Linked DNA regions of Saccharomyces cerevisiae S288C. Changing the gene in region 1 together with any one later gene gives a genetic interaction. Each region holds a gene or a part of one and is shown on either strand. Other genes may lie near its edges.

Region 1 (7,505 bases):
CGGGGCACAAATCAAGAACAATAAGACAGGACTGTAAAGATGGACGCATTGAACTCCAAAGAACAACAAGAGTTCCAAAAAGTAGTGGAACAAAAGCAAATGAAGGATTTCATGCGTTTGTACTCTAATCTGGTAGAAAGATGTTTCACAGACTGTGTCAATGACTTCACAACATCAAAGCTAACCAATAAGGAACAAACATGCATCATGAAGTGCTCAGAAAAGTTCTTGAAGCATAGCGAACGTGTAGGGCAGCGTTTCCAAGAACAAAACGCTGCCTTGGGACAAGGCTTGGGCCGATAAGGTGTACTGGCGTATATATATCTAATTATGTATCTCTGGTGTAGCCCATTTTTAGCATGTAAATATAAAGAGAAACCATATCTAATCTAACCAAATCCAAACAAAATTCAATAGTTACTATCGCTTTTTTCTTTCTGTATCGCAAATAAGTGAAAATTAAAAAAGAAAGATTAAATTGGAAGTTGGATATGGGCTGGAACAGCAGCAGTAATCGGTATCGGGTTCGCCACTAATGACGTCCTACGATTGCACTCAACAGACCTTGACGCTCACGCCGTAGCGGGCGACAAGTCAAACGGAACAACCGTTGCCGTTCCCATCGGAGTCCGACCTAGGCCGAACTCCGTGAATTTCTGATAACAACGGTCGGTAAAGACTGGTTCCCCAGTATATTTCTTCTCTCAGGAGCAGGGGCCAATGCCAAAAGCGACATTAACCCGGAGGACAAGGCTCCACTGTGTTCCACCGAATTTCCCACCTGATAATATCTGATAACCCGCCCATAGGTGGGGATCCTTCTGTAAACAGGTTTCTTAATCGTAGGAATTACCACTGTTCCACTGCCAATCGCAGCTCCCAGAGTTTCGTTCCCAGCCGCGAGCACCACAGCGTACCATGTGCGCCACGAGGCCTCAAACGTAAAACAATCGAAACGAAAAGAAACAGACTATAGGGGAGTATAGAGACAGCCGGCCAATAAGAAGAGGAAAAAGAAATACTAGCGTTTATCAATGTGGGTCGTTAACATATCCTGTTGACAATGATTACAGGTTAAAAGGTAGCGTAAGTGAATATTAACTATGGATATTCTTATACTTAGATAAGAGACATATAAAACACACGATGATTGATTGATTTTTATGACCAATATATGTAATTCGTAATTCAGATAGTTTTTATACTTTTAATGTGTGCCGAACCATATTACTAGTATATGTAACTACCATGTTATGTTCAATTGGCAGATCTTTAACTCGGCTTTAGTTATCCAAGTTACTTGCAATATTTCCTTCTGCGAGAGTACATTTGCCCTTAAACGTATACGAGGTATTCATTAATGTGTGTTGTAAGTATTTAGATTGACATCTATAAGAGAGATGAACATATATATATATATATATATATATATACATGCATATTTACTATAAACGCGGTTTATTCTGCCAGGCAAAGGCAATTTGCTTTTGTTCGCCAGGCTCAATGATAACGTTGATGACACTTGTTTCTCTTTTAGTCCGAGAAAGCTGCACGGCTTGTTGGAAGCATCTGCTCAGTTCGCTTATTGTGTTGACAAAAAAATCATTGGCACCCAGTCCTTTGCCTACGAGATCGTAACGGCAGTTCTTGCTTAGTGCCGTTGGAGGTAAATCACCCTCTATATCCTTTTCTCCATGGTAAATACCGCTATTGTTCATCACAACGATGACCAATGCCAGCTGACACCTTACTGCCGTTTCAATTTCCATGGCAGAGAATCCAAATGCGGAATCACCCTGAATCAGCACCACATCGAGTTCCGGATGAGATGCCTTGCATGCAAGAGCATATCCGAGCCCAATCCCCATAGTCGCGTTGGTCCCTGCGTCTAAACGGCGCCTTGGAGCGTCTGTAGGGAATGAAATACGCGCAATATCCATAGTATTTGCTCCCTCCGTCACAAGTATTGTCCTGTAATCATCGATAAGAGGCCTCAATGTTCCATAAACCTGGTTGTAATTCAATTGTGCCCCTCTAGTCTTCTCTTTCCTCAATAGACGAGTTTGATTCAGTTGAATTTTCTCTCGTATTTCTTGCTTAACACCACTATACTTCCAGCAGGAATCTTGGCGAGTCAATTCCTCAACTAAAGCGGTTACGCTCAAGCCTATATCTCCCCATATGGAAAGGTCAGCACCAGGTGAGACATTGTTATCCCCCAAGGTTTCGGGATTGGAATCGAACTGGATGAATATGGATTCTGAGTTCCATTTGGGTGAAGTACCAAAATGCAATATCCAGTTTAATCTTGCCCCGAGAACAAGAACAATATCCGCTATTTTCAATGCTTGAGATCTTGCAGATGAAACGTTCAGTGGAGAAGAGTCTGGGACAATTCCCTTAGCCATTGGGGTGGGTAAAAATGGTAGATTGAACGTATTTACTAGTCTGCGGATTTCGTGTGAGTTTTTTACCGCACCCTTTCCAATAACAATCAGAATATTTTTATTTTTATGTTGCAAAATAAGCTGTACGACTTTTTTGATCTTCGACGGATCAGGGCCACATATGTTTGGAGTTAATATCATCGGTAATTCATTTCCTGTACGGTCGTTTCCTTCTAAGGGTTTTTCATACTCAATAAAATCTGCAGGGACGTCTATGTAAGAAACCCCTGCAGTGCCTTGTATACAGTAATTCAAAGCCTTCTGAGTAATCATGTCAATATTGTCAGGGGTTAACTTTCCGGTAAACTTCAAAAATGGGGACAAAAGACTAACTTGATCCAACTCTTGAAACCCGCCTTTATGTATATCACTTTGAGAAGAACTCCCTGCAATTACTAGAAGAGGCCACCTATTACTCATTGAGTTGTATATACCAGCCAGTGCGTGGATTAAACCGGGGCCCCCGACAATAAGTAACACGCCGGGCTTATCACTAATATAACCATAAGCAGAGGCTGCATATGAGGCAGCCTGTTCGTTCCTGCATGGAATGAATTTGATACCGTTGGCAACCATCGTATCCGCTAGTTGGACAATAGGGATGCCCACAATTCCAAAGACTGTGTCGATGCCATATTTTTGTAAAAGTTGAGCGAAGTGTTGGGTAGCGGTCGTGGTCATATTGATGGATGGTTGTGACGGTTTGAATGTAGAGAGTATATTCTTCTTATCACATAAAAGTAACCAATGCCTTTTTTTTCCTTTATATATAATGTGGTTATATACCAACCTTTTGTAAATTTCCAACTTTTTTCTTTAGTTAGCTTTGCTTGAACTTCGGGCCGAAGGGCTCGGATAAGAGAAACAATAATTTTGTTTTCATAAAACATCGATGGCTTGACTACTTCTTTTATCCTGTTCCTGAGATTCTTTCATCTTGGCGATCTTACACCTTAGTTCCATAATAGGGTCTCTTACAAAATCCCTCATTGAAACGACTTGAGAACACGCTGCTTGCGGGCAATCTCTTGTCGTGTATCCTTGTAAATAGTTTTGAATGCCGTCTCTATCGAAGACGTGATTACATTTTCTTGATATCAATGGTGCTTCGTAAGGTTTGCAGGTGATAGGACAAGTCAATTCAATTTTACCACCTTCTATTTGTAGATCGTCTTCGTCTGCGGGGTTTTGCAGATCCGGTATTACACAAGTTGGATCATTCCATATGTACGGCAACACTTTTAGTATCTTGAGTGTATCTGTGTTATTAACCATGGTTGCAGGCTCTGGTGTGGGCATATTTAGATATAATTCAGATAATTTGGGAGCGGTGAGTTCTCCGGTACGATATTTATCCCAGGTAGAAAGGTCGATTTGCGGACAGGCATCTGAGGATTGTTTGAAATTTTTTTTTAAATCTTTAATATGTTCGTCAAATGAGTTGGATTCCGATTCGTATGTCGAGAGGAGTTTGTAGGTGCTAGTAATATCTGCGACCTGCTCTTCAATGCCGATGGTGGAAGGAGATGTAGAATCCACTAATTGATTTATGGTCTCATCAATTTGTTTGTAGCATTGTTGATATATATTTGATAAGTCTCGGGCATGTAAATTATGGAAGTACTTACCTGATTTTGGGTGTAGAGGAACTGACTTGGGTATAGGATTATCGTTCAAGGCCATTTTTAAAGTTATTCTTTTTTTATATAGTCTTGCCTTGGTTTCTTTAACTGACACGATTATTTTAGCAAGTTTTTTTCTACACAGGAAAAGAGGAAGAAAATAACCAGAGAAGCACTGGTAAAAAGATACTTCTGCGTGCCGGAGTAACCAGAATCAAAGGAACGCATAGATGGATAAAGAGGTAAGTGAATTGGTAGTGTTGCAGCTAATACACACTTTAATTTCCAACAAGAATGAAGAACTGGTTAGGAACGGGGGAGGAATCAACATGATTGGGAATAATCTTCGAATATCGCTAGTCAAGTTGACTAACGAAATACAAAACAATTTGCTAATCAACGAGCTGACAAATTTAAGAAGGCAAAGCAACGTGGCAAATGGAAACAGGAAACTGGGCATCAACGATATCCTGACCATAGTTAAGAATTTATTCCCAGAGTACAGAACAACACTAAACGATGGACAACTTAGTCTACACGGTTTGGAAATGCATGATATCGAGAAGCTCCTTGACGAAAAGTACGATCGATTCAAGAAAACGCAGGTCGAACAAATAAGGATGATGGAGGATGAGATATTGAAGAACGGTATAAAGACCGGTGCATCGCAACTGCAACCACATGCAAATGCTGGCAAAAGTGGATCTGCTGGTACCAGTGCTACTATAACTACGACTACGCCACACATGGCGCATTCAATGGACCCAAAAAGAGAAAAACTATTGAAATTATACAGAGATACCGTTCTGAATAAATTGGAAAGTAAAACTGGGAATTTTCAGAAGCTATTCAAGAGTCCCGATGGTAGCATTATCAAGAATGAGATAAATTACGAAGACATAAAGAACGAAACGCCCGGCAGCGTTCATGAACTGCAGCTGATTCTTCAAAAGAGCATAACGGACGGTGTAATGCGAAAGGTCATTGGTACGGACGACTGGAAATTGGCTAGACAAGTGCAGTTTGAATTGGATGATACGGTGCAGTTCATGAGAAGAGCACTAGAGTAAGGAGATAGTAGGCGACACTTCGAAAATCTAAAGTCTTGTAACATTACTATTATATACTATTTTATTAAAAAAATACACACACAATTCTTTAACAGAACAATATATAACAAATGAAGCGACATGTTTCTCAAAAAAAAACATAGTAGGTAGGTAAAAATGGGAAAGAACGGGACAAACAAAACGAAGAGCAGGGTGTATTTGCCCACACACGGCAAACAACATCCATTCACGCCCGCATGCCCAAAACTTTTTTGCGATAAAACGCCCACGCAAATCACATCGTTCCAACAGAGGAATCGAACAGCACAGATACAAAGTAGGAATATAGCACACACACAGGAAAAATTAATTAATTATTAGAAATTAAAAGGGTTGGGGAGAAAAGAGGTCTAATTTATTCATTAATATTCAGTAATTGAAAAAAAAAAAAAAAAGAGGATAACTAAGAGAAAACAACATCAAGCTCGTTTGGCTTGCTAGTGATCGCTTAGAATCTTTGTAAACCTCTTTGTCTAGCTTGCCATTTTCTGTAGATAATGGTAGAAATGATGGCGATACAAGCCAAACCGACTAGAATAAAAACTAAGATAACACCACCTGGTAACGTGCTCATCAACATCTTTGTATAATTGTTATTGTACTATTTATTGTTTTGTATGTATACGATGGAGAAAAAGAGAAAGGAAGAAGGAAGGACGAAAGAGAAAAAACTGGAAGGGAAGAAGAATTGATTTTATATTAACCAAGAGGAAGGAAAGGAAATTGAGTTGTGATTACGGAATTTTAGTTTTTTTCACTGTTTATTTAAACCAAAAGGTGTGGAAGAGAAAGAGAGAAAAAAGTTCTGTAATTCGTTAAGGAAATTAAGTATCCGCGCCGGAAAAATAGCGAGAGGTTTTTTTTGATGCAAAAGCTAGGGAGGGCTGCGGACGGATTTCGAAAACAGCTCAACAGCGTGGTGACGAGTTGCGTCAGGGTGTTGGCCAGTGCTACCGCGGGCGGCGCTGCACAGGGAGTAAGCAGAGCGGGCTAGAGCGCGGTTTTGGAGAGGGCCCGGGCTGCTGTGGTCGTAGGATTGCGGTAATTTAGTGGCTCGCCCTCGTTTGTCGTGCTTTTTCCGAGTTCCGAAACTCTTTCCCGAGCTGTTAATGTGCTAAAAGTGGTAAATCGTATATGATGATATACGTATATGATGATAATTTCCTGCGCGCTACTTGCGTGCATTCGTCACTCATAACAAAAAGAACTACACAATACGTAAACAACGTGCGAAAATATCTATATACAAGGGGAGAAAACAAAAGTGAAAGTGCATTACAGCCCATCACAGATCATTATAATACAATATGCCGACCAAGTCAACTTTTAGTCGCTGGAAGAAGGCGGACCTAATTGACCTGGCCAACAAGCTGGAAATTGACGGCTTCCCCAATTATGCCAAGAAGAGTGATATGATCGATTACCTCGAATCGCACTTGAATCATCTTGAGAAACCTGTGGATTTTAAAGACGACTACCCGGAACTAAGGTCCTTTTATGAGTCGATGACAGTGGACCAGTCAAAGGATGAACGGAACGAATACGGATCCGGATCTGGAAACGGGTCTGGGTCTGGATCCTGTGACACCGCCACAAATGATTCCGATCTGGAGAAAGCGTACATCAAGGAGGATGATGATGAGAAACCGCAATCAGGCGATGAAACAAGCGCGACAAAGCCGCTTTCCAGCAGGAATGCAAATTCAAACGCCAAAACGAACTTCAATTTGTTGGATTTTAGCACAGATAACGACTCGTCCACCTCTGCGTTTACTAAGTTCAAGTTTAACTTTCAGGAATACCTCTCCGATATTAGATACCAAACGCAGAAATTGAATGAAAATGTTCAGGACTATCTTTCCACTATTTCCGCCGTCGATACGATTTTTTCCTTGTTGGAATTCTCTTTTCTGGTGAGAAACATATTAGCCGCCGGGCAGCCAACTTCTTCTTCTTCGCTCGCATCGTCGCTGGAAGCCGCCGTTGCCGCCCATAATAAATATCAATACACGCTCGATTTCTGTTTACCAATACTCACGTGGCTGCTCTTCTTTAGGGGTATTCCAACGTTAGTGTCATACTACATCAACTTCATCCGCTACGACCTGAACATCGAGTTGGACCCGATGACTTTCAATCTCACGAAATTCTTGATTTCTTTGGCAATCTTCAAAACTTGTAATAATAAAAACATAGATTTCCATTCTTTTCGATGTGTTAACCAACTATGGACACAACTCTGTACAGTGAACCGTTCCCTTGGTATGGTACCTCTAGTATTCTCCATGGTTAGTTGTCTCCTCACTCTATACGTATTATAGTATATT
Region 2 (8,868 bases), on another chromosome or scaffold:
TCAAAAAAAACTCTTATCTAATAATATATATATGAGTGCCTGTTATCAGTAGCCGCCCTTCCGAGATTCGAGATTCGCCATTGCTCGGAAGACGCGAACGGTGGCTACTCCAGGAGAGAAAATAAGCGGAAAAGCTAACAATACTCACTGCCAAATGTAGTAGTTTTGCCTTACCATTATCTGTACCTTATTTAGATCAAATTATAGTGCATTTTTCAAATATTTTTAAGAGTTGAAATAATCTTTACTTGTAGAGCACATCTTTTATATCAGTTGCGTCTGACTGACATTGTACAGTTATATAAGTTAAAATGTAACTACAAGTCCTTCATGGATTTGCTACCGGAAGTGAATATCTTGTAATAAGACCATAGCCAAAATATGCTAAAGCAAATGAACCCAACAGCACAGTTCAACAACACCCACAAGTCTGGATATTTCGATGGAGGTGCTACAAATTGATCTAAGAAATGATAAAAGCCCATAGCAATATACGTTCCTATGATAAAACTTTTCCAAACCACATTATATGGCAGTAAGCTTCTTCTTCTATAGTCGCTATTGATGCTGCTGATAGAAGGGCCAGGAGTTAAAGATTTTGGCAAGAACCTTGGTGTAATAAAACTGAAATTTCCAATCAGCCAATTGCTTAGTAAGAAAGATACGGCATACTGTAAATGAAGACCGTCCTTTTTCAACAAAGGCCATAGCGTAAACAAAGCCACATTGTTTATCCAACTTACAAGAGATAGAACATTCCAATCAGTAGAGGAGTAGAGTAGTGTAATAGGCAAAAGTGGGATGAGGATAGTTTTCTCATGTACTTGAAAGCTAAAAAGAAAAAAGGACATCGAACATGCGATTAACACGTATGGGAGAAGATGCTTTTTGGGATGAAGTAATGTCATTATCATGGCTGGTAAGAAACCAATCACGGTGGCAATCAATGAATATAGCTGGAGTTGTTGTATAGTGAATCTTTCCTTGTATTTTACAAACACGTTCGTAACGCACCAGAAGTTAGCAACCTTGTCTTCGAAGATGCCCCTGGCAAAAGGGAATATCCTGTGAATACATTGGTGAATATTCTTTAATCCTCCTCCCAAGAAATATAATGGCGCAAATATTATAGCAAAAGTTGCGAGTGTTGCAAACGCAATAACCGTCAATCTAGCTATGTTAAATTTGGGGAACAGCAATGATCGACTTAATAGATAAGCAAAAAAAATCGGTGCATAATACAATGCCATTTGTTTAAAACAAATGGATAGGACAAAACAAACGGCCGCCATAGCATAATACTCATCTAATAAGTTATTTATGGCATAAGCAGTAAGGCCAAGCATGACTGAATTATATTGAAAGTGCCCATGGTCAATGAGCATTAATGAAGGTTGGAACAAAATCGCTGATGCCGCAATAGATTGTCCTATGGGCGACTGGTTTCGATATCTACCAAGCCACTTAGTAAAGTATATTACTGCAGGAAAGTAAAACAATATGTCGCTAATGATGACAGTAGAACGCATATATGTTTTCAGGCCATTATCGGGGGATTCAAAGCCACGTGACTTTTCTAGTGCAAACCAAGATGGATTGAAAAAAGATCCAATTAGGCCCAGAAGGTACGAATGAAATGCTGTTAATGGTGGATAGTCCAATCCCCAGTATTGCAAATCATACCAGTACCACTTAGAAAGCGGTAAATGTTGCGTAATTTCCATCCAATGTCTCTGAGCCTCAAAATCGCCGTACAGCGGTGGACTGCCTTTCCCAGAATATGGACCAAGTCCAATTGTGCACCTCAGTATTACAGCACATACAAAGATAATATATTCTGGCAGCCATTGGTTCCCCACTGGCCTAAACGGATACAAAAAATCATACATTGGAGAAGCATAAAATGATTCTTCTGCTGGTTTGTTCACCAGTAACCTTTTGCCAATGGCCATTTTCTATGCGAAGCCTGATGTGAAGAAAAGAATTCCTGACACCGTCCATTCGGAGTGCCATTGCTTTAACATGAGCAAATCCCTTTTCTAACTTGGAAGTATTGTTCTCGCTGAGTATTTAACACGCACAATATTCGAGCGAAGTATAATCCTGCAAAAATTCAACTATAGATTTCCGGATAACCTCCGACGTTGAAATTATATAAAACTTGTACTTTTCATAATAAAGGAGATGAAGGGAAACACAGAAACAAAAAAAGAGAAAATGGTGTGCATGGGGGAGCCATAACTCCATGACACAGATATTCGATTAGATGAATTTAGAGGTCTTAAATGAAAATTACCATAATTTATAAATAAAAAAATACGCTTGTTTTACATAATCACCTTTTAAATGACAGATTCTTACCTTTGGCGGCAGGCCTCCTCTTTTTAGCTGCCCTTGGTCCATTACTATCGCTAGATGATGGGTCGAATCTCCTTTTCTTTTGTTGTCTATTATTTTGGCCAGGCTTATTAGATAAGATATTCGGAATTTTTGAATAATCCACAGCATCTTTTTCCGTTACACCTTTTTCCTTTGCTGGTTGTTTCTTTTGAATGTTTTTCTTCTTTAAAACAACAAGATCATCAAGATTATCAATCTCAGGCGAGTGATTAGGTGCGCTCGCAGGGTCTACTGTCTTAATCTCCTCTAGCTTGACAGGAACAACGAGAGGTTTCTCTATTTCGAATATGATATCCTCCAAGTTTGCTAAGGCAGACTTGAAATTTTGTGCTCGGATCCTGATATCTTCCGTCTTCACTTTATTTGGCAAGCCGTCTTTGCTATATGCAATATCATGCTCCTCACGTGGTAAAATCTTACCCAACAGAATAGAAGAATTAGTGACAGGCTTGGCTCGGCTCTTGGAAATATTGCTGTTGCACAACACCGAAAACCTTTCCATAACATCACGGATTTGAGGAACACTTATAGTCTCCAACAATATTCCGTCTGCTTTGGTCTCGGAAGATGGAATGGGAGTAGCTTCCTCATTGGTGTTCTTGATGTTTCGTAATGCATCTCTTATCAAATTAGCTAATAGTTTTGCATTCTGGCGGACATGTTCAGTTACGCCATTGGTCAAAGAAACAACACCTATGACATCAGTAGGTGTATATGCGACAAGTGCAGCCAATAACTGGTTTGGCATAACAAATCGTGGCGATTCATCGTCTCTTCTTGCAATAAGATCTCTCCATTGGTATAGCTCTCTTACTAATACTTCCCTCTCAGGTGGTATGTTGTACTGATACATCAATATTTTCCAAGGACTCTCTTTTTCGATTGGAGAATAAACTTCTGAAGAAGGTGTCAGTGGTCTGTACTTTGAATATTCAAACCTTCTTTTTGCGACATTTCTTGATTCATAAAGAACACCTGCTAACTTATTAGACTCGATAAGTTTGTTTCTCAACTGGTCATATATATTTAGTAAAAAGTGAGTATCTGCTCTAGCATATGCCGTCATGGGTTTTGAAAGCGGTCTTATACGCCAGTCAGCCAACTGATATTTCTTTGAAGTTTTAAAATTGGCAAAATTCTCCAAAAGATAGGCCAAACTATGTCTAGGAAGACCGATTGCTTTAGACGCATGGTAAGTATCGAAGAGACCAACGACATACAAACCTAAATCTCGCTGAAGCCAAATAATATCCATGAATGCACCGTGAAAAACTTTCACAATTGAAGGGTTCGTAAACACTTCGTTCAGAATATGTAAATTTTCGCGAAGTTTTAGAGTATCAACTAAATAATCCCTTTCCCTTGTACTAATTTGCATGAGGCAAACAATACCATAGTATGACCTATAATCGTGATGCTCAAGATCAACGGCAATCTCTTTCGTATTTTTCAAGTCCTCCAACATTGATTCGAGTTCTGTACTTGTATCTACCCAAATTGGTACCGAATCATCCCAGGATTTTGAGGGAATCTCCTCTCTAATTTGGAGAATTTCTGGACTATACTCTTGATGATCAATCTCATATTCATAAGGATGGGGGTAGTGACTGGGGTTATTTTCATCATCATCAACCAACCTCAAACTCTCAGAGAGTGGCTTCAAAGCATTTGGTTTTTCCTTCAATAAAGGTATGAACGGATGACTTTCGCTGTTATCAATTGGACTTTTAAATTTCAACTGAGGTTTTTCGACTCTTTTGGTGGGAGAAAAATTCTTTCCTGAAAATTCGCCTAAATACTGAAGATCGGAACCTCTTGACTTTGAGTTTATTGCACAATTCAGCTTATCCAGCGAATGGTCTGACATTTCTAACAAATTATCCATGATGTTTCCAAAGTTGTTCCACAAGTCAGAAATGTCCTCTTCTTTAAGTTCAAATGATTCATGATGCTCATCAATAGAGAGGATTATTTCATTCGCCATATCCGCAAGTTTGTCTGCTTTTGATTTCAGATCTTTACTAAATCCCCTGTCTAAATTCTTGTAAAAGTCTACATCTTGACTGGCTAACGATGATGCTGCTCTCACCACATTTATCACCCTAGATAAAAGTACATCCGGATTTTCAGAAGTCATAACGCACTTATTGGGTGCTTATAAGCTGTTTGTTGTTCCTATTTCGTCTATCTTCAGATGAACATTAATATTCATTACTGAAAAATTTTCCGATGCCCTCATATTTTTGGGTAAAATATTATTAATAATATCACGTGAACTTATTTTGCATTTAAAAAAAAGTAAAAACTATTTGCTAAAATATATTTTTTTAATTTTTAAAAATAATGTTTTAATTATTTAATGTATATGACTTCCGAAAAATATATATTTGATAACAAAAATTATTATATGCGATATTGAAATTTCATTGTTCAGTATTTTTCCACTAAAACATGTGAAAGTAATTTTCATTATTGAACATGAAATGGTTCTGTCAAGGAAGTTTTGAAACTAGTATCTGAAAAGAACAGTGATGATATGAATCTACATGTATTTATCAAGTTAATTGAAATGGAGTTCTCAAGCTCATCTCGAAGTGTTTTCTGTCGCTTATGCTCTTATGATGCAAAAAGGCTGAAATAGAACATATCCTTCTTTAGCAAAAGAGGGAAGTTATTCTCTTATATACTACCTGAAATCTTGAACTTTTTAGCCAAATGATGGCCAATTGCTTATTATACACACACAGATATATATATATATATATATATATATGTACAAATGGAAAGTTTTAATTTTGCTCAATCATGATTGCTTTCATAATACCCCACGAAAAATCATTAATCTGGCTTTGATCGCTTGTTATAGATATGTGCGTCCTTTGCCTCAGAATATCGCTTTTGTGAAGAGTGAGAATTGGGTGATGACGACCCCTTTAGTTGAGTAGTTTGGGAGCCACTTTCACTCACTATATCAATATTTGGCGGGAGAACATAATCAACCTTTCTACTCTTATCAGGTGAAGCGTTAAAGGAACCCACCAGCTGAACTATTCTTCGATAGTATTTATCTAGAACATTATATCCACTTTTTGGACGATTAACGTAAGAATAAGAATCCAAATCGAGAGACCCTAATGCGTTTTTATCTATGACAAACTTTTTCTGTTTTTGCTCTATACTACATAACGTAATGTTATGATCCCGCGGAATGATTCTGTAGTTTACTCTCTTTAAAAAATCGTTCTCCAGTATATTCAATTCGTGACATCGTACTCCTCCAACTTTTGCATAATGGGCGTTTGTTGAGAACGAATCACATAAGCCTTTTGTTGCGACTGTGGTGGCTGTTAATAAAAACCTATGGGCAGTCAACGAATTAAGCGTAAAATCAGGATACACAGTTTGCAATAAATCGATATAATAGAGTGATGTCATAAGCACACAATGTTCTAAAGAGGAAAACTTTGTCAGTCGTATGAAATAGTTGAAGATTGATATGTTTGGAGGAATCTTAGAATGGTATCGTGTTAAAGTAATTTGGTCATCAGATTTCTTTGTTGCTGAATTTTCATTGATTGCTATCAGCGATACTAACATTCGTGATATGAGCACCACTAGGTCAGTTCTAGAGCATTTATTAAAATCAGCGGGCAGAATTACTTTTGGTATCCCTTGATCCTCATGTATATTTTCGGAACGTTCTCCTGATGTGCTTTCCATGATTTCTATGAGTCTCCAAAGGATATCCTCGTCTTATGATAGCTTGCAGACTTAAATTTGATAAACACTTATAAAAAGAAAGGTTATCTGCCTCTCGAAGTATATAACTGATCACTGGAACGCTATTGGAAACAATACGGATGATAAAATTGGAATATAAATAATCTTAAGAAGAAAAAAAAAACAGGTAGGAGCTATAATCGGCTAAAGAGAAAAGAAGAAAAGTTGCAGTGTATACGGATGAGCACTTTCAAAGTAATATGGCTATTTATGATGGCTTGGGGCATTAGATTAAAGGAAAGCCAATATACGCTGAATAACTTTCTGAAGTTTGAATCCTTTATTCATCAAATGAAGAAGAGATCCTAGGATGAGTATGGAGACTGATTGTTTGTTAAAATCTTATAACCCGTATGTGTTTCCAAGGTGGTTTACAGAAGCCTCAGGCTCTCACCTACGGGTTAAAATCTGACTATGGTACAAGCACGTTCGCCTCATTCATATTTTCCATAGAAAGCGGACTCAAATTTTGAAACCGCATTTTAGAAAGAAAAACTCGATAGCATGTTAAATATTTTAAAGAATACCATAATTCGTTAAAAATACAAAAGTGTACTGATATCGTACTTCCTCTAGGGTAGCACTACCTTGTTTAGGCCAGAAATTAAGTAACAAACTTTTCTTGTTTGCTTCGAGTATACTAAAAAACAGACACTCGGGGTTAATAGGCGGTCTTCCGTTGTTGAGCTCTTTTTTTTTTAGAAATCCAACATCTCTTCGAATAGTAGATTAGAAATAGTATTTATGTCAGCGTTCCTTGAGCCAAATGTACTAAATTTCCCGTCGTTTTAATTATGCTGCATGTTGGAGAAGAATCATTCCAAATGTCAACTTTATTAGAAAGGACTAAGAGTGTGCAAGAGCTGAAGAAGAGAGCTGCAGGGAAAACATCCGCAAATCCCGCAGAGGTCGCTAAAGCTAAAAAAGTACTAAGAAGGCTATATAGTTGGGATGAAATTCCGGAATGGCAAAGAGACAATGATTTTATTTTACATGGATACGTGAAAGAAACTAGTAGCTTCATTGAAACTTTTAAAAGTTTGTTTTATTTGCATAATGAAAGTGTCAATATTTATTCACATTTAATTCCTGCTCTCGGGTTCTTCACTGTACTGTTGCTAGATAAATCTACTATCAAAGTGTTTGCAACAACTACATGGCTAGATCATATGGTAATCGACCTCTTTTATTCGGGGGCGTTTGCATGTTTAATATTGAGTAGCTCCTTTCATTGTCTAAAGAGTCACTCCTTAAGAATTGCTACCTTAGGAAATAAGTTGGACTACCTTGGTATTTGTATATTGATTGTTACGTCAATGGTCAGTATTTTGTACTACGGCTATTTTGAGAAATTTTCCCTATTTTGCCTATTTGCGCTTATTACCGTTAGCTTTGGGATCGCGTGTAGTATTGTGTCACTAAAAGATAAGTTTCGGAAAAGAGAGTGGAGACCTTACAGAGCTGGGCTATTTGTTTGTTTTGGTTTATCCTCAATTATTCCAATATTCAGCGGCCTTTACTGCTATAGTTTTTCAGAAATTTGGACCCAAATTCAGCTCTTTTGGGTATTACTTGGGGGTGTCCTATATATAATTGGCGCTGTTCTTTATGGAATGCGGTTTCCTGAAAAGATTTGCCCCGGTAAATTTGATATTTGGGGTCATTCTCACCAACTTTTCCATTTTCTAGTTGTTATTGCGGCATTGTGCCACTTGAGAGGTTTATTAAATAGTTATGAGTTAGTCCATATAAAGATGGAGAACGGGATTGTCTCCTAGATATTTGGAAAAAACGTAGGATTTATATAGAAAGTAGTTTTAAAGTTAAAATAATAAAATGGTTCTTATATGTGAGAAGAGAATAAAGAAAAAGGCCCTTACAATAATATGTTCAAATATAGAAAAGAAATTCCCAGATAGAAGGGAAGCAGGATTTGTGCACTTTCTCATATGAAATATACACGACTTTAGCGTCTCAGAGGAACATTTTTCTTACTAAGAGCTCTCAATTTAAAATACGGCTTATTTCCACTATTTATTGGCTGTCTCATGTATATTTTTATTATCCTGTTAAACCTACCTCTCTTACTACGCGCTTATGAAAAATAGCGGATCTGAGATACGATAATTATCGTCCCTACATTGTGGTGATGGTGTATAACATGAATTTTAAAAACTGAGTTGATCGTTAAACCATGCCAGTAAAGTTAAGGTGGCCTTGGTTAGGAATTGCTATACCAACGTTTCTGATTTCATTTATAGGCTATGGTGCACACTACTTTATTTTATCCAATTTCTTGTCAGTTCCGAAACAAATAACATTTGAGTTCTGTTTGTCAATGATATGGCTCTCCTATTACTTGGCCATCTGCACAAATCCAGGAAGGCCTTTGCCCAACTACAAACCACCCCCTGATATCTGGCGGAATTTCTGTAAGAAGTGCCAAAGTTATAAGCCAGAACGTTCACATCATTGTAAAACCTGCAATCAATGCGTCCTAATGATGGATCATCATTGTCCGTGGACGATGAATTGCGTCGGCTTTGCAAACTATCCGCATTTCCTTAGATTCTTATTTTGGATCATAGTGACGACTAGTGTTTTATTTTGCATACAAGCTAAGCGGATATATTTTATTTGGCAACAAAGGCACTTGCCTGGCTACTTCTTCAAAAAATCAGAACTGAT
Region 3 (9,255 bases), on another chromosome or scaffold:
GTTTTTGCCAAAGGATAAAATCCATTATTTTTCAGACATTGGTTACCATCATCCACCTTATGATAACTGCCCATTGGACAAGGAGGTCTATAACAGTAACAACTGTGAATGTGACCAAGGTAATGATTTCACTTTCCAAGGTTACTCTTGTGGTAAGGAATATTATGATGCTCAAGGGTTGGTAAAGCCAAAAAACTGGAAAAAATTCCGTGAGTAGAAATCTTGGAACATACTGTTTCTTTGTTTTGACTTTATACTTTCTATTTATATTTTATTTTTATAACTGGTTAAGTACACATAGGACTGCGTATCAAACATATAAGTGAGGCAATCCACATTTTTTTTAAAGATTCGAATATTTTTATTCTCATTAGCGTATTCCGAGAATAGTTCGAAAAAATATAAGGTATATCAAGAGTTTTTACAAGTGAGAGGAAAGAGGAATAAGCTATAAGCAACAAAAGCGTAAAAAAATTAGCTGAAGACATAGAACTATGGATGTTCTCAAAGAGGTGTTGTCACTAGACCAAGATAAATTTGACCAGCTGAAGGAAACGAGCCGAGATAAAACAAATGAAACGGATGATCCTTTTGAAAACTATTTGAAGGATTGTAAATTTAAAGCGCCTTCAAACAAAGATCAGTCACCATTTGCTAAACTTAAATCATTACAGGAAACTCATTCTAACAATGAAGCGGCTATTAATATAATTATTCCTCAATTGATTGATTACTTAACCGAATTCACTAATAGGTTATCAAATTACACACAAGATTTAGACTTCATTAAAAAAAAGTCCAATGAATTACAGTCATTGCTCGAATACAACTCCACTAAACTGGCACATATCTCTCCTATGGTTAATGATTTGATGATTCCTCCTGAACTCATTGATGACATCATTAAAGGGAAGATCAATGAAAGCTGGCAGGATAATATAACATTCATAGCAGATAAAGAAGAAATTTATAACAAGTATAGGTCCAATAATCTCGATCAAGACAACAAGGACGCAGAAAATTCAGCAATGCTAGCACCAAAGGATTTTGATAAGTTATGTCAACTCCTGGACATCCTAAAAAATGTTATTCTAGAAAGGTCGAAAAGACTTATTATTTCCAAAATCAAAACTTTGAGGAGTCATAACCCAGTACCATCGCAAAGGATACAAAACAAATTATTAAAAGTTCAAAAAATTTTCCCCTTCATAAGAGATAATAATCTCTCCTTAGCCCTTGAGTTAAGACAGGCATATTGTTACACAATGAAATGGTATTATAGAGAATACTTTTCTAGATATATCAGGTCATTGACTATTTTGCAATTTCAACAAATCGACTCGCAATTTGCATTGGGTAATGGCCTTTCTACAACTTCAGTGAGTGGGTTTAACAATTCACCATCATTGTTTTTCTCAAATTATCTAACTACATCCGCTTCAAATGCTTTCTATAATAAACTCCCTGTAACAGATGAGAAAATTGATAAATACTTTCAGATAAAGAAAAGATTGAACATTTTAACACAAGAAGACAATACGGTAATGGTATCCCAAATTGCAGAAAATAACACAACGAAAAACTACATTGAAATTGGATTTAAAAATTTAAACCTTGCAATTTTAGATAACTGTACGGTGGAGTACCATTTTTTAAAAGATTTCTTCGCTATGAATGGCGATAATTTTGAGGAAATTAATGGTTTATTGGAACAAATATTTCAACCAACTTTTGATGAAGCCACAACATACACTCAACAACTGATCCAATATAATTATGACATTTTTGGTGTATTAATAAGTATTCGTGTGGCCAATCAATTACAATTTGAATCAGAAAGGAGAGGAATACCGTCTATGTTTGATAGTTTCTTGAATGGTCAATTAATTCAATTATGGCCTCGATTTCAGCAATTGGTCGATTTTCAATGCGAGAGCTTACGAAAAGCGGCAATAACTACAAATGTGGCAAAATATGCCGGCAACTCAAGCACATCCAATAGTAGCCCTTTGACCTCACCTCATGAGTTAACTGTACAGTTCGGTAAATTTTTATCAAGCTTCTTGACGTTGGCAATAACACATAAGCAGTCCATAGACGAAAGATCTGAACCCTTATACAATTCCATCATTAGATTAAGAAATGATTTCGAAACAGTCATGACAAAGTGCAGTAAAAAGACGAAATCACCAGAAAGATTTCTGGCTACAAATTACATGTATTTATACAATAACCTACAGCAATTGCATCTACATTTAAATATAAATGACTCGGATGCACAAAACTACAATTTTGATTCTGCTGAAAATGTTGGTACGAAAGTTGCGAATGACGACGATAATGATTCAAGCGTACCACTAATAATCAGAGAGACCGAAAATCATTTCAAAACTTTAGTTGAAGCTTTCACCAGAAATTGATGAATGTAACGATTGTATAAGACATGGAGCGTATAAAGTATATTTTTATGTAAAATGATCTTTATGATTTCTTATTTTGTGTGGAATATAGTCAAATGTTTAACGACCTACCATTATATAGTCTGTCTCAATTAAAATCCTTCAGGAACACCTTTTGCAGGTCTTTGACTTAAATCAAGGTAAATACCGCCGTTTTTGAACCCAAACCACTTGAATCTCACTTGATCGTCACTATCCTCATTTGTCGTTTCATCACGCTTGATATCTGACCTTCCCTCCTCCTTAGAAATAGGATCTTGAATCCGCTGAATAATTTTATAAGCTTCCACATCAGAATAAGGCACACCAGTCCTTGGATCAAAGTACTGACATTCTTTATTTGTGATTAAACATTTTTTTCTTATACCATTGGCTAAGAAGACACCCGTTGGAGGCTGTGTTTTAATTTTGATTTCCAAATCCTTATTTATCTCTGTGTTGATTTGATGGACTATTTTCTTATCGTATTCCCCAAAAGATGGGAAATTTGCCAGAGCTGACAGATCAAGTGATATATCTACGGTAGGAGACGGTACTGAAGACTGAGGAGGTGATGGTAAAATGGAGTGGAAAACAGTTTTCATATCTTGTGGACGCTGAGTGGCGGATAACCCATTTGTGTATGACCATCGATCACCAAATAAGTTTGTGTTAAAATCTTTTAGATTTGGAGGAGCATTAGGAAAATCATAAAGTGTAACAAAGTTCCTTGAGGTTAATTGCTCAGGCCCTTCGTAGGTCTGTGTTGATAAAGAGTTTTCCGCGGAAGATTCATCAACATTAGCTGTATCTTTTTTTGAGGGTGACTCTTCAGTATCGATTATGGCCACTTGCGGATGGTCGGTAAACGTTACTTGTTTCAAGAAAGAAACATCAGTATTGCTTTTGGTCTCTTGTGGTACATTATGAGATAAGTTCTCGATGCCTTCGGTTTTCAGACAAGGTTCAGGCTCTCCTTTTATATCCGTATCCGGAGAGATCAATATAGTATCTTCAGTGCCAGTGGAGTTTGATGGTGTAGGTGTTGCAGAATTATCCCTTTGTGAGACCACTTGGGCAGCAGGTGATGAGTTTTCAAAAGTATTTTCCCTGCTCTCGAGAGCACTTACCATTTCATCTTTAATTTCTTCATTATGTAAATTTTGTATCGGTTCGCCTACATTGGTAATTTTTTGCTCATTAGTTATTATATTCTTTTGTGGTTGGCTGTTGGGAGCTTCATCAACGGTACTCTGCTTGTTTGCAATTGCGTCCAATGTAACATCAGGTAATGCTGTTGGCTTTAATTCGTCTGAATTTACTCTACTCACCGCTGCATCTGGACTCGATTCTCCTTCAACTGTATCGTTAGTAGAAGTTTCCTCAATCCTTTTCTGGTTGTGTACAGATGAAGAATTCTCACCCAAAGAATTCACGTCGCCATCGTTCTTTATCGATTCTTCACTCTCCCGCTTTTTATCATCTGATGCGTCCTGTTTTCCGAGATTTAAATTCTTCTTTGGCTTCCTCGGATATTTTTTCTTCTTCTTATCACGTTTATTCAATTGTTCCTGCCAATATTTACGATCTTCTAACTCCATCGCTGGCGTCATTAGCCAAGCAGTAGATAAAAATTGCAGTATAGTCTCATTTGGCTGGAATTTCTGCTTTTGTCTTTTCTGCAAAGCTAGACGATTCTCCTTTTTCCAAACTTCTTGTTCCTTGAACTTATCCAGTGACAAAATATTCAGCTTCTCAGTCTCCTTGGCAATCCGTAGCCTCTCTTCTTGTGTCAGCATATGCTGAGACTCCTGCTCCTTGTGTTTCCTTATTCTTTCTTGTATAATTTTTCTCTTTTTTTCAGCTTTAGACAATTTCTCATAAACTTTCATCGTGTTTTCCATTACCGATGATCTTTTAGAAGTTCTCCTTGTATTTAATAGTAACGTCTCTGCGTTTAATTGTTCATGGGTATGGTGCGATCTTGGTATAGCTTCTCCTGACTTAGGCTTAGGTTTTTGTTTTTTGATTACAACGGGACCCTTCTGTAATCTCTTGTTTCTTTTCTTTCTTGAAAGTAGTTCTTGTCTTCGTATTTCCTTTTCCTCTGCATCTTCATCATTCTCGTTGCTGGAGTCCTCAGATTCGCTACTGCTGAACATTAAGTCATCGGCTGCTTGCTCACTTGAAGCCTGAGAGGGCTCTTTCCTTATACTTTGAGTCTCATCTTCTTTTTCTTCCCCTTCATCATCGTCATCTTTTGCCATCATTTCGAAATCTTCATCATCTTCATCTTCCTGAAACAACAGCCCTATTTCATCTTCTTCATCATCATTACCATTCTTATAGGAAGAAATTTGTCTTTTGGTAGATTCTATATCTCTTAGCTCCTGCTCCAATAGTTTTTGTAATTTATTACCGGCATTAGACCTCCTAGATCGTGTTTGTATAATAAATTCTGTGTTAGTATCTAGACTTTTATCAGCACCTTCATCACTCATCGTGCACTGTGAATTTGCTTCGGTTTCACTTCTATTTGTATTCATTAGACTACATGGTGCTTTCTGCTTACTGTTTTTTCCATCAGGATTTTTTTAACAAAGAAAAAAGAAAACTACTAAAACCTAAATAAGGTACATATTTTGGCTTACCAGCAAAGAGAATATAAAGAAAAGGGAAAGGAGAGAAAAATTCTGAATATGCAACTTTGTGTGCTTTTTGTTTTCACTGAGCGCTTTCTAAAGCTTTATTTTTGTCTTCAGTATCTAAGTTTGGCTCTTCATCAATAAAAGCCGGTGGCGCATTCGCACCTAGTAAGTAACTGGGCATATCGTTACCTAATGAGTTTTCGCTGGTTGGCAAAGTGAAATCCTCTTGTGCCAGAGCATCCAGCTCTGCATCCAGCTCTGCATCACTAATGTCGTCGAGCTCGCCACTGTTATTATTCATTGCCAAGACTTCTTGCAGCTCATCCCCTTGTTCTATTAAATCCAGCATCTCATCCTGCATGTCCTGTAGTTTGTCGATATTTATCTTGCCGTATTGAGCCTTCATGGCATTGTTTGTTTGCTTTAGTGCGTTTATAGTGATCATTGTGTTCTGTAAGTTATCATTTGTTAACTGGGCTTGCGTCATGGACCAGGATTGAGAATCTAAAGAATCCTTCATATTTTCTAACTGTTTACGTTTATTTAAAATCTTCAAAGCCTGTTTTCTTAACGAGGGTTGCTTGTTGTTTGATCTTTGCAAATTCTTTTGAATATTTTGCAGCTGGAAGTTTAACTGGGCGATTTGAGTATCTAACTGGGATATTCTGTTCGATAGTGATTGTTGGGCCTGATTCATGGACTGATTCGACTCTTGTAAGAGCTGATCATGGCTCTTTTTGTTCCCATATCCGAAAATCCTGTTCATAATTGCCTTGAAGAGTTTATAACTGTGTTTCAACCAATCTTGGCTTCCTCCTATTACTACTTTTTTTAGATGTACTTTTTCTCTTGCTAAAAATCCCATATTTTTGTATGGCTGAAAAACATAGAGGAAGAAAAAGGTCAAAAAACAAAAGATATATACAAAGTTACAAATATATACATGTATATATGTGTGAGTCTGTTGTGATAGAATGAATGGAGAAAATGTTCACCAGATTATTTCTTCAAATATTGGGCCAATTCTTCGATGGAGATCAAAGGAATGCCATGTTTCTTACCAAACGCTTGGCAGTCATTTAATCTCATCATAGTTCCTTGTTCGTCATCGTTAACCAATTCGCCAATAACAGCGACGGGACTTAGTCCACTTAGTTTACACAAATCGACACCGGCCTCAGTGTGGCCTCTTCTCTGCAAAACACCGCCATCAGCGGCTCTCAAGGGACAGATGTGCCCTGGTTTTAAAAATGATTTTGGCGTAGAGGAAGAGTCTGCAAGAGCCCTACAAGTCATCGACCTGTCGTGAGCAGAAATACCTGTGGTAGTGCCTTGGGCTACATCTACAGTTATTGTGTATGCAGTTCCATGCCTGTCGTCATCATTGGATTCAAACTTCATGCCTGTTCTCAGTAGTGGAAGGTCCAACTTATCAGCAATGGCATTCGTCATAGGTGCACAGACGTAGCCTGAGGAATGGCGTACAAGAAAGGCCATTTGTTCAGTGCTGACATTTTCAGCAGCGCAAATAAGATCACCTTCATTTTCACGACCGGCATCGTCCATAACAATTACAAACTTATTCTGCTTGAAGTGTTCTATAGCTTGATCAATTGGTGTAAACATTTTCGACGTTGCCTTTTCTTCTTTTCCTTTCCTTTTTTTTAGCCTTCTGCTTTTTGTTGGAGATATTTACATTCACCTCACATATATACGCCAATGAAAATTTCACAATAGCACGTATATTAATAATAGCCTTGCTTTTTTTTATCAATTCTCGCTAAGAAATTACTCATCAGGCAATAACCTATGCTCACCCGCCTCGAAGCGGCGTTAGGAGATAACAGTGGCCGTGTAGAGGGACGTCTTAGCATCGAAAGCCCAATTTACAACAACGAGGCGACCATCTGCACACCACACTTGACACCGTAGAGTGCGACTATTTTCCCCTCCATTGTTTTTTTCGAGCCAGCGTGCACGTAGTACGGGCCCCCCTAACAACAATGGCGCCCCTATGATAGCTTTCCCTGCTCGCGCGTCCCACAGCCGCACCGTCCAGTCCGTGGAACATGATAATAGAAGCATTAGCCGCCGAGCATCGTCCCAATGAAACTCTAACCCGGTTACCCTCGTAGAGTGGTTTTCTGCAGGTTGGAACCCATTGTTGTCCAAAGAGAGGTACAGCGGCCCAGGTTGGTCCCAGAAAACCTTGTATATACCACCGTCTTCGCCACCGATCCAGACGTACTGCGGGTCCTCACTCGTGTACGCCATGCAAGCTATACCTACCTCATCAAACTTTGCCAACCGCTGCAATCGCTCCGTATATGTGCAAGTATCATTCTCCAAAGATAAAAGCTGTGATAGCGGTACAGGACGGAGCTGCTGTGGCTTCCGCAAAACAGTCAAGTCCAGGCAGCTCAACTCCATAATATTGCCATTATCAGCTGCCACAAGTACTCTCTCTTGATCTTGCACGCTGCTTGTTTCAATTACAGCCACCACTGGGTGCTGAAAGTAGTGTCTTGCCACCATATTTCGCTGCACGACATACACTACCGGTGTTTCTGGCTTTTTCTGTTTCAATCTAAGCTCGTACAATATGATCTTGCCCGTCAAGGTCGCCAACAAGATTGATATTACATTGCTTTCCGGATGATACCGACGGAGGATCGTGGCTGTCATGATCCGCGTACCACGGAACTCTACCATATCTATCAAGAGGCCGTTGCGTCCGCTGGCATTATCGCACTTGACTACATTCACCACAGACCACGCCGCTTCGCTGCTAGCATACTGTAGGTCTGCCGGCGGCAATCGTAGATAAACCACAACCAAGACGCCTTTTCCTGGGTCATACTCCTGAGCGATACAATCGCAGTCTGTCTCTGATTGTAAATTCTCACTGACCATGTTCCATTGCATGAGGTTGTCTTTATCCTGTTGCATGTTCGATGGCGCCTGCTGGCCTGACGCAGAAACCTCTGTCTCCAGCCGCGCAAAACTAGCGTTGCTCAGCGTTGCCGCCGCCTCTTCAACAAGAAAAGGTTTGGCTAGTTCTAACCTTGGCTGGTCGTTTTCAGCTTTGTCTTTATTATTTTCGTCGGCAGCAGTAGTTTCAATGGCGACAGCATCAGTAGTGGTGTGATTTTCATTTTCTTGCAGTTGTTCTTCCTCAATTTGATCTGTTTGAATGCCTTTGTCGTATGTTATAACCTCCTTACGTCGAAGATATGCAGATTGGGGCTCTTGAATCTTTGAGCCTTCCTCCATGTCGGTCTGCACTGAAACGCTGACCATGGTTGCCTTAGCGTGCACCTCTGTGGGATGGTGGCCCATCGTCTCGCTCCCAGGGAACAAGCTGGCTTGTTTTCGCCTCTCACGCAGCTCTTTCAATTGTCTCCTTTTTTCCTCCAGTTGCTTCAATCGCTCCATCTTAATGTTTCAATCCTTCTTCCTCTTTGGTTGATTAACCAACTGTGATGCTCTTTTTTCCCTTTTCTCTTTGTTTACGGCAAAACACGAAAACTAGTTCATTTCTTTTTCTTTTCGCCTTGGACTAGTACTGAAAATTTCAATAGCATTATATTTGAGCCATAGGTAAGAAAAACCAAATTTGTTAGTATTGGGAAGGAGAATAAGATACCTGACTCGGTGATGGACATTAACATAGACGATATTCTTGCAGAACTGGATAAGGAAACTACTGCTGTCGACTCTACCAAGATCACGCAAGGTTCTTCTTCCACTACCCACAGAGATGCAAATACAATAGTGGGTTCGTCCTTAGACTTGAATGACAAGACTCAGATATATGTCTCTCCCCAGCAGGATTTTTCTGACTTGATGAAGTCTTGGAAAAATGAACGGTGTTCGCCAGAACTCTTACCATATCCTCATCAGTTGATGAAAAGATTATTGAATCGAATATCCATGCAATCTCAATTAATTGAAAACATTTCAATGGGATTCCTCGATATGCAAAATGCTTCTAATGCGAACCCGCCTATGCCTAACGAATCTAAATTGCCTTTACTCTGCATGGAAACTGAGTTAGAAAGATTGAAATTTGTTATTAGAAGCTACATACGATGTAGGCTAAGCAAAATTGACAAATTCTCACTTTATTTGCGCCAATTAAATGAAGATGAAAATTCGCTGATCTCTCT
Region 4 (7,205 bases), on another chromosome or scaffold:
AATTTATGTTTTTACAATTATTTTTTTTCTCGTTGTTGGTTTCTAAATGACCTAGGAGAATTATGTATAGAGATTAGAAGCTTTTCGACAATATAGACTTCATAATAACGAAATGATTTTACTTATGTCTGCAATTATTTCCTCATGCCTTCCTGTATTATCGCTTGTTAGTCCTAGTACGTTATTTGCACGCCTGTTCCGACTGAATTCGATGAGAGTTGGAATCTATGTCACATTTAGCACCGTATAGGCTAATATTCTAATAAGCGTGACAAAAAATTGGAGTGTTTTACTTGTAATTGATGAATATCAATTCAATGCCCCCATAGCTTTTTTTTACGGGTGATTCTTTTTTTATTGTATTTTTCCACCACGAACCGTAGATGGCTTATTGCATTTCTACATGAAAGAATAGTAAATGTGTAGCCTTTGTTACGTGAATAACTTACTTATCCAAGTATTAAAAGAATTTTGGACCAGATTTCTTCTTCTATTACTATCCCTCTAATTGAAATATGAGTGATTTTGAGATAATTGTTGGAATTTCATCGTTGTTACAGGTTATAATATTAAATATACAAAATATGCTGGAAGTTCTTCTTGAGTATATAGGAATTCACAAAAGGAGAGTCGATATATCTACATATTATGATAATGTTTACTTCTTCTTCCATTTTATATGTTATCATTTATTATCCTATTGCATTATCAACCTTAGGATTTCTGCTTCCTTTATATGTGATAGCTGTTCCTTAATCATTATGTCACCTTCCTATGCCGTATGTGATAATATACTAGTAACATGAATACCAATAATAAGTGGATGGTACTAGAATTACATTTCAACATAGGCTGAGTTGCTTTGGAAGGCCATGATGTGTATTATAAATTCTGAGTCTTTTCATGGTTCTCAGAAAAGATCGGGCGTGTGGTCTAGTGGTATGATTCTCGCTTTGGGCGACTTCCTGATTAACAGGGGGACAAAGCATGCGAGAGGCCCTGGGTTCAATTCCCAGCTCGCCCCCTTTTTTACTATTGAAAAGTATTCGGTCAGACGTAGCTGATCGATGTAGCATGTGTACGCATTTCTAGATATCGAGTAATTTCCGCTGATGTATAATATATATATATGTGTGTGTGTGTGTGTTTTTCATCCAGTAGTTTTTTTCTTTAAAAAAAACTATGTATAATATAAAACATGCAATCTAGATATGCTGGATAAATTTATCTGGTATGACAATTTTCTTGGCAATTTGCTCGCCCCCGTCTCCATGCAGAGAATTTACTTCGTGATTTTCTATTGTTAATTTGACAGGAATACCATTTTCTTTCTCATCTGAATTTGTGATCAAAAATTCGTAGGCTGATCGGCTTGACCCAACAGAATTATCACCAGTTTTATGTAATGGGAACGTATACCACGTAGGAGATGGTGTAGAGGTTGACCTTGTTCTCATTGCTAATGTGTCTATATTTTGAGTAGGCACTATCCTTATATCAGGGGAAGTTGTTCTTGTGGGAAGTAGATCTACTTCGTTTGCGAAACCTTGTTGATCTGTCGCTATCCCAGTGCTATCTGTTACGGTGGTCTGTGTCGTGATATCACTATTGGAAGTGAAAGTCGTTTGCACAACATTACCTTTTTCATCAAAGACAGGCAATCTACAAATAGGACAAGTCTGAGAACGTTCCATCCAATTCTTTAAACACGACAAATGAAGTATGTGGCCACAAGGTAACCTTTTGGGTTTCTTGTTTTTATTCTTCCACGTCTGCTGGTTTGGAGAATGTATTAACTCATCCATACAAATGATACAAATATTGTCATCATTTGCAGAATTTTGTAGCTGTTCTACGGTGACAGTGACAAGAGTGTCGTCGAGCTGTTTGTTATTTCTCCAGATTTTCCACAAACTTGTGCCACTTTGATATAGTGCCAAGATATCCCACACCACATCTTTCAAAAGCATCATAGGCATCCTAAATGGTATTAGCATAGACAAATGAAGTGCCGTTTTTAAGAATCTTGTGAATACGTCAATTGCTTTTTCATACATGAATTTACCCTCCAGGCCGGTAAATTGTCTATCATCATCGTCGTCATCGTCGTCGTCATTCAGCACTGGCTGAGATTGATCAGACTCAACCGTGTTTTCATCTGTAGGATCGCCATGGACAATATGGTTGTTCTCATTAGACAGACTTTGTTGTGAGCGATAAAATTCCCAGAAATTCAAACAAGTCTGTAGGAATAAATTTAGCAAATCAATCAAAAGCATGGTAAACTCCATTACTTGTATCAGGTAAAGGGATGTGGATTCAATATCACTCTTTTGGTTTGTATATATGGAGGAGATGCATCGTGTTATTATCTGGTAGTCTACAACCGCCAATAGTACGAGGTTAAATGAGAATCTACTAAAGATAAGGGTTTTCATTGTGGTGGAATCATTTATTGACTGTAATAAGGCCTCCAGCCTATCCTTTAAAATCCAATGGAAAACTTTCAGATAGAGTAGTAATAGTCCAAAAAATGCCACTGTGAAAAAATACCGTTCGTGGAACAGTGAGGACATAAACAAGGTGTTTATAATGGTAAATGGTAACCTTTCAAAAATGTGCTCATGCTCAATAAGCCTCAGTTCACCAAATAATAGTTTCGTTAGGAGTTGCCATAGTAAGGTAGAATTTAATAAGATGAATATCGACAAAACCATTAGATTGAAGCCTTCATTTAGCTTCAGTGTTACTTGCAAAAAGGAAACGCTTGTCTTGGTGGCTGAATACACGCAATAAAATGTGAGCAAATATGTGACAACTACAAAAATTGCCAACTGTTTCCTTCTATTTTCTGGCACCATATTATTATTTTGTCTTTCTCCCCTTCTCTTACAAATTGCAATTGATAGATGATTTTCTGGTTATAAAAAGGAACCAACAAATCGGTAGAAAGTCGACAGTATAACTAGTGGTGAAGCTGTTATTAGAAATGGTAGGGGGGTTTTTTTTTTGTCCTGTCGGCACGTATGGAAATTTATCGTCTATTAAACCTTTTCTTTGATTTGATTTCTACAGTGTACTTTTGTAGGTGTCCTTAATTTCCATTTTTCCGGGTATGCAAAGTTCAACAAAAAGAAAGCCCTGACCAAATTTCTGCGTACATAACGGCTACTGCGCTATCGTTGGGAATATTGTGTGAGAGTATATTTTCATGCTATATATTATAGTAAAAACATAAGAGATTAGACGTGAAAGGAGAGATAGATTACATATATGTATGTATATAACTCGGGTACGGAGAGACAAATTTCAACTTATAATAATGATACAGACGTTAATATGGATAGAATGAGGATACAGGAGCAGGGAGAATTACGGGAAATGGGAAAGAAAAACTATTCTTCTTATTTCTTACTTCCCTTTTTTTCCACTTTCAATAATAATGCTTTATTTATATGAGGCAAAACACCACCTGAAGCAATTGTAGCCCTGATCAAAGAATCTAACTCATCGTCACCTCTAATGGCCAATTGCAGATGTCTTGGGGTAATCCTCTTGACTTTAAGATCCTTGGCTGCATTACCAGCCAACTCCAGCACTTCAGCAGTCAAATATTCCAACACAGCAGTCAAATAAATGGCAGCTTTGGATCCTACTCTTGTTCGGCCGGTAGCGTGCCTTTTCAGGTAACGCTTAATCCTACCGACAGGAAACTGCAAGCCAGCCCTTGCTGAAGAAGATTGAGATCTCAATGAACCACTGTCTTTAGCGCCGGATTTACCTTTACCTCCATGAGCTTTTCCTGACATTATGTTAAGTTATTTTTACGTGCGGCTATAGTGCGAAATTGAATTTAACGATATTTTTTCCGACTGAAGTATAATAGAGTCCGCAGTGTTTTTTAGTTGGGGGTTGTGACTCTATTACACTGGATAATAGTTCAGCTGTTAAATAGAGCTGTATGCTTTATTTGTTGTTTTTTTTGTTTTGTTGTTTTCGTGCACGGAGCGAGCGCGGCGGGTTACGGAACACCAGCGGCCAGTTCTACGAGTAGTAAGTTACGGGCGTAAAGTTACTGTGTGCTAATCTAGCATGGATGCATTCAGTAAACCTTTTCAATTGAGTCTAACGTTCTCTAAAGAAAGAAGAATACTGCTATTTTAGGTATGTGCTTACTACCGCTTGTGCGGACCTGCCCTGATTCCAAGGTAAGAGACAGTGATTCTTGTCCTAAGCTCTTTTCTCCGGGGCGGGCGGGCGGCTGGCAGACATATTGATTGCGGGTAACACCTCCGAGGTTAATTAATCAAGCAACGTGCGGAGTTTTATCACATGGATGTTTCTTATCACCGGGTGCGCGCCACGCAATATATAAAACGGTAAACATACGCTGTTGCAAGGCAAGACACAACAGCGGCAAACACTTCAGAGAATACAGACGATAGTCATCAGCACTCCTAATAATCGTATAATGAATACTATACGAAGCTTTGTGCGTTGCAAAAAGAGCATACCAGGCGAAGAGAGCGCAGTTAGTAGGTGATCGGGAAATTGCTGAGTACAGTTGTTTGCCTCCTGTGATACCGCGTCACATGACCATTTAAAAGTGTCCATAATGTCATCGGTAACGTCACACTCACATGAGTTTTCCTGACTTCAGCCTCCTTCATCTCGCGTTAATACGCCAGCATCGCGCACCATATTACTGCCCGCGTAATCCAATTCCTCCTTTCGTTCTCAATGACTAAAACGCAAATCATTTTTCCTTTTTTTTTGAAACCGGTGGACGCCCCATAGAACTTCCAAATCAGGAAATACCGCAACTTCATCCGTTTTCGTTTCGCTTTAGTCCTCCACGAAAATATCTTGCCGGTTCCGCGAATGTTGTACTGGTTCTTCTGTGCAATGAGCCTTTTTCTCTTCTTTCTTTTTCCCTGCTTTTAAGATGGCTTGGCTATGGAATTACTCAATTTGGCACTTCTTTTGCAAGATCCAGACTTGCAGGGATTCTATCACCATTATTACCACACTACTATGTTATTGTTACGCTTTTCATCCACTTTTATATAAGTTATACGTGGTTTTACGAGTTCTAATATTTCACTTTTCAGCTTGGAATACGCCGTTTTAAGAGGACTAAAAGCAAGGAAATTACACACATAATAATATAAGTAATGATACGTCCATTATGTTCAAAAATTATTATCAGTTACATATTCGCAATTTCTCAGTTTCTACTGGCCGCTAATGCGTGGTCGCCCACAGATAGTTATGTTCCTGGCACCGTGTCGTGTCCCGATGACATAAATCTGGTAAGAGAGGCTACGTCTATATCTCAGAATGAGAGCGCATGGTTGGAAAAGAGGAATAAAGTCACTAGTGTAGCTTTAAAAGATTTCTTGACTAGGGCTACTGCAAATTTTTCAGATAGCTCAGAAGTTTTGTCGAAGCTATTTAATGATGGCAACAGCGAAAACCTGCCGAAAATTGCTGTCGCCGTTTCAGGTGGGGGCTATCGGTCCATGCTAACAGGTGCGGGTGTTCTAGCAGCAATGGATAACAGAACTGAAGGTGCTTATGAGCATGGGCTGGGTGGACTTTTACAAAGCACAACATATTTATCTGGTGCCTCGGGCGGCAACTGGCTAGTTGGTACATTAGCCTTGAACAATTGGACATCCGTGCAAGACATTCTTAATAATATGCAGAACGACGATTCTATTTGGGATTTGTCAGATTCTATTGTTACCCCCGGCGGCATTAATATATTCAAAACAGCCAAAAGGTGGGATCATATCTCTAATGCTGTCGAATCTAAGCAGAACGCCGATTACAATACTTCTTTGGCCGATATTTGGGGCAGAGCCTTGGCGTATAATTTTTTCCCTTCTCTAAATAGAGGGGGTATAGGCCTGACTTGGTCTTCCATTAGGGATTTCCCAGTGTTTCAAAATGCTGAAATGCCTTTTCCAATTTCTGTTGCGGACGGTAGGTATCCTGGAACAAAAGTCATCAATTTGAACGCAACGGTTTTTGAATTTAATCCCTTTGAAATGGGATCCTGGGATCCCTCTTTGAACTCTTTTGCCAACGTTAAGTACCTTGGAACGAATGTCTCCAATGGTGTACCATTGGAAAGGGGAAAATGTACCGCAGGCTTTGATAATGCAGGTTTTATCATGGGTACTTCCTCCACCTTATTTAACCAGTTTCTTTTGAGAATAAACTCCACTCACTTACCTAGTTTCATCACAAGATTAGCAAGACATTTTCTAAAGGATTTATCTCAAGATTTTAATGATATCGCTGTTTACAGTCCTAATCCATTTAAAGACACGAAGTTTTTGGATAGTGACTATACGACAAGTATTGTTGATTCAGACAGCCTATTCTTAGTTGACGGCGGTGAAGACGACGAAAATGTTCCTGTGTTACCGCTTATACAAAAGGAACGTGATGTGGACATTATTTTTGCGGTAGATAATTCTGCCGATATGAGATTGGCTTGGCCTGACGGTTCTTCTTTAGTCCATACCTATGAGCGTCAATTCGTTAAGCAAGGTCAAGGTATGTCCTTCCCATATGTTCCAGATACGAATACATTCGTTAATTTGGGTTTGAACAAGAAACCAACCTTCTTCGGTTGCGATGCTAATAATTTGACCGATCTTCAATATATTCCACCTCTAGTTGTTTATCTGCCAAATGCAGAATACTCTTTCAATAGTAATCAGAGCGCGTTCAAGCTATCATATTCCGAATCCCAAAGAAGAAGTATGATTCAAAACGGGTTTGAAATTGCAACTAGGAACAACTTCACTGATGATCCTGAATTCATGGGCTGCGTCGGCTGCGCCATCATTAGACGTAAGCAACAAGCTTTGAATATTACTTTGCCTCCGGAATGTGAAACCTGTTTTAAAAATTATTGCTGGAATGGTACCCTGGATACTACCCCATTACCAGATGTTGAAAAGGATGTTCACCACTCCTTTATCAACGTCAATAGCTTCAACAGCTCCATAGGACAAGAAGAAAGTCTTTACGCCGGATCTTCAGCTTCCCAGTCATCGTCTTCATCATCGTCTTCATCTTCGTCTTCGGAAATTCCTTCGGCTACTGCAACCCTTGAGAAAAAGGCAGCTACTAATTCTGGATCACATTTATCTGGCATAAGTGTAAAGTTCTCTGCTATGATTATGCTT

What was found.
Region 2: mutations in EAF5 (region 1) and RRP6 together harm fitness more than expected from each alone (negative genetic interaction), as found in Saccharomyces cerevisiae (5 studies listed by BioGRID, with this or other methods).
Region 3: mutations in EAF5 (region 1) and VPS72 together harm fitness more than expected from each alone (negative genetic interaction), as found in Saccharomyces cerevisiae (7 studies listed by BioGRID, with this or other methods).
Region 4: mutations in EAF5 (region 1) and HTZ1 impair growth when combined (synthetic growth defect), as found in Saccharomyces cerevisiae (7 studies listed by BioGRID, with this or other methods).

The regions. Positions count from the first base shown.
Region 1 is NC_001137.3:117,172-124,676, forward strand, and holds EAF5 (Eaf5p), read left to right. Parts: upstream 1-4,299; coding exon 4,300-5,139; downstream 5,140-7,505. Other genes in the region: protein transporter TIM9, read left to right, coding at 40-303; PXP1 (putative indolepyruvate decarboxylase family protein), read right to left, coding at 1,446-3,128; SUMO ligase MMS21, read right to left, coding at 3,327-4,130; PMP2 (proteolipid ATPase), read right to left, coding at 5,627-5,758; GTT3 (Gtt3p), read left to right, coding at 6,486-7,499. UniProt on the Saccharomyces cerevisiae protein: Component of the NuA4 histone acetyltransferase complex which is involved in transcriptional activation of selected genes principally by acetylation of nucleosomal histone H4 and H2A. The NuA4 complex is also involved in DNA repair.
Region 2 is NC_001147.6:322,501-331,368, reverse strand, and holds RRP6 (exosome nuclease subunit RRP6), read right to left. Parts: upstream 4,538-8,868; coding exon 2,336-4,537; downstream 1-2,335. Other genes in the region: ALG6 (dolichyl-P-Glc:Man(9)GlcNAc(2)-PP-dolichol alpha-1,3-glucosyltransferase), read right to left, coding at 318-1,952; PHO80 (Pho80p), read right to left, coding at 5,239-6,120; IZH2 (PAQR-type receptor), read left to right, coding at 7,005-7,958; palmitoyltransferase PFA4, read left to right, coding at 8,375-8,868. UniProt on the Saccharomyces cerevisiae protein: Nuclear-specific catalytic component of the RNA exosome complex which has 3'->5' exoribonuclease activity and participates in a multitude of cellular RNA processing and degradation events.
Region 3 is NC_001136.10:1,422,269-1,431,523, forward strand, and holds VPS72 (Vps72p), read right to left. Parts: upstream 4,940-9,255; coding exon 2,552-4,939; downstream 1-2,551. Other genes in the region: alpha-1,2-mannosyltransferase KRE2, read left to right, coding at 1-217; VPS52 (Vps52p), read left to right, coding at 495-2,420; VPS60 (Vps60p), read right to left, coding at 5,163-5,852; 3,4-dihydroxy-2-butanone-4-phosphate synthase RIB3, read right to left, coding at 6,086-6,712; PAC11 (dynein intermediate chain), read right to left, coding at 6,920-8,521; DNA replication protein SLD5, read left to right, coding at 8,744-9,255. UniProt on the Saccharomyces cerevisiae protein: Participates in the catalytic exchange of histone H2A for the H2A variant HTZ1, an euchromatin-specific factor, leading to chromatin remodeling and changes in transcription of targeted genes. Indirectly involved in vacuolar protein sorting.
Region 4 is NC_001147.6:300,175-307,379, forward strand, and holds HTZ1 (histone H2AZ), read right to left. Parts: upstream 3,810-7,205; coding exon 3,405-3,809; downstream 1-3,404. Other genes in the region: E3 ubiquitin-protein ligase HRD1, read right to left, coding at 1,206-2,861; PLB3 (lysophospholipase), read left to right, coding at 5,175-7,205. UniProt on the Saccharomyces cerevisiae protein: Variant histone H2A which can replace H2A in some nucleosomes. Nucleosomes wrap and compact DNA into chromatin, limiting DNA accessibility to the cellular machineries which require DNA as a template.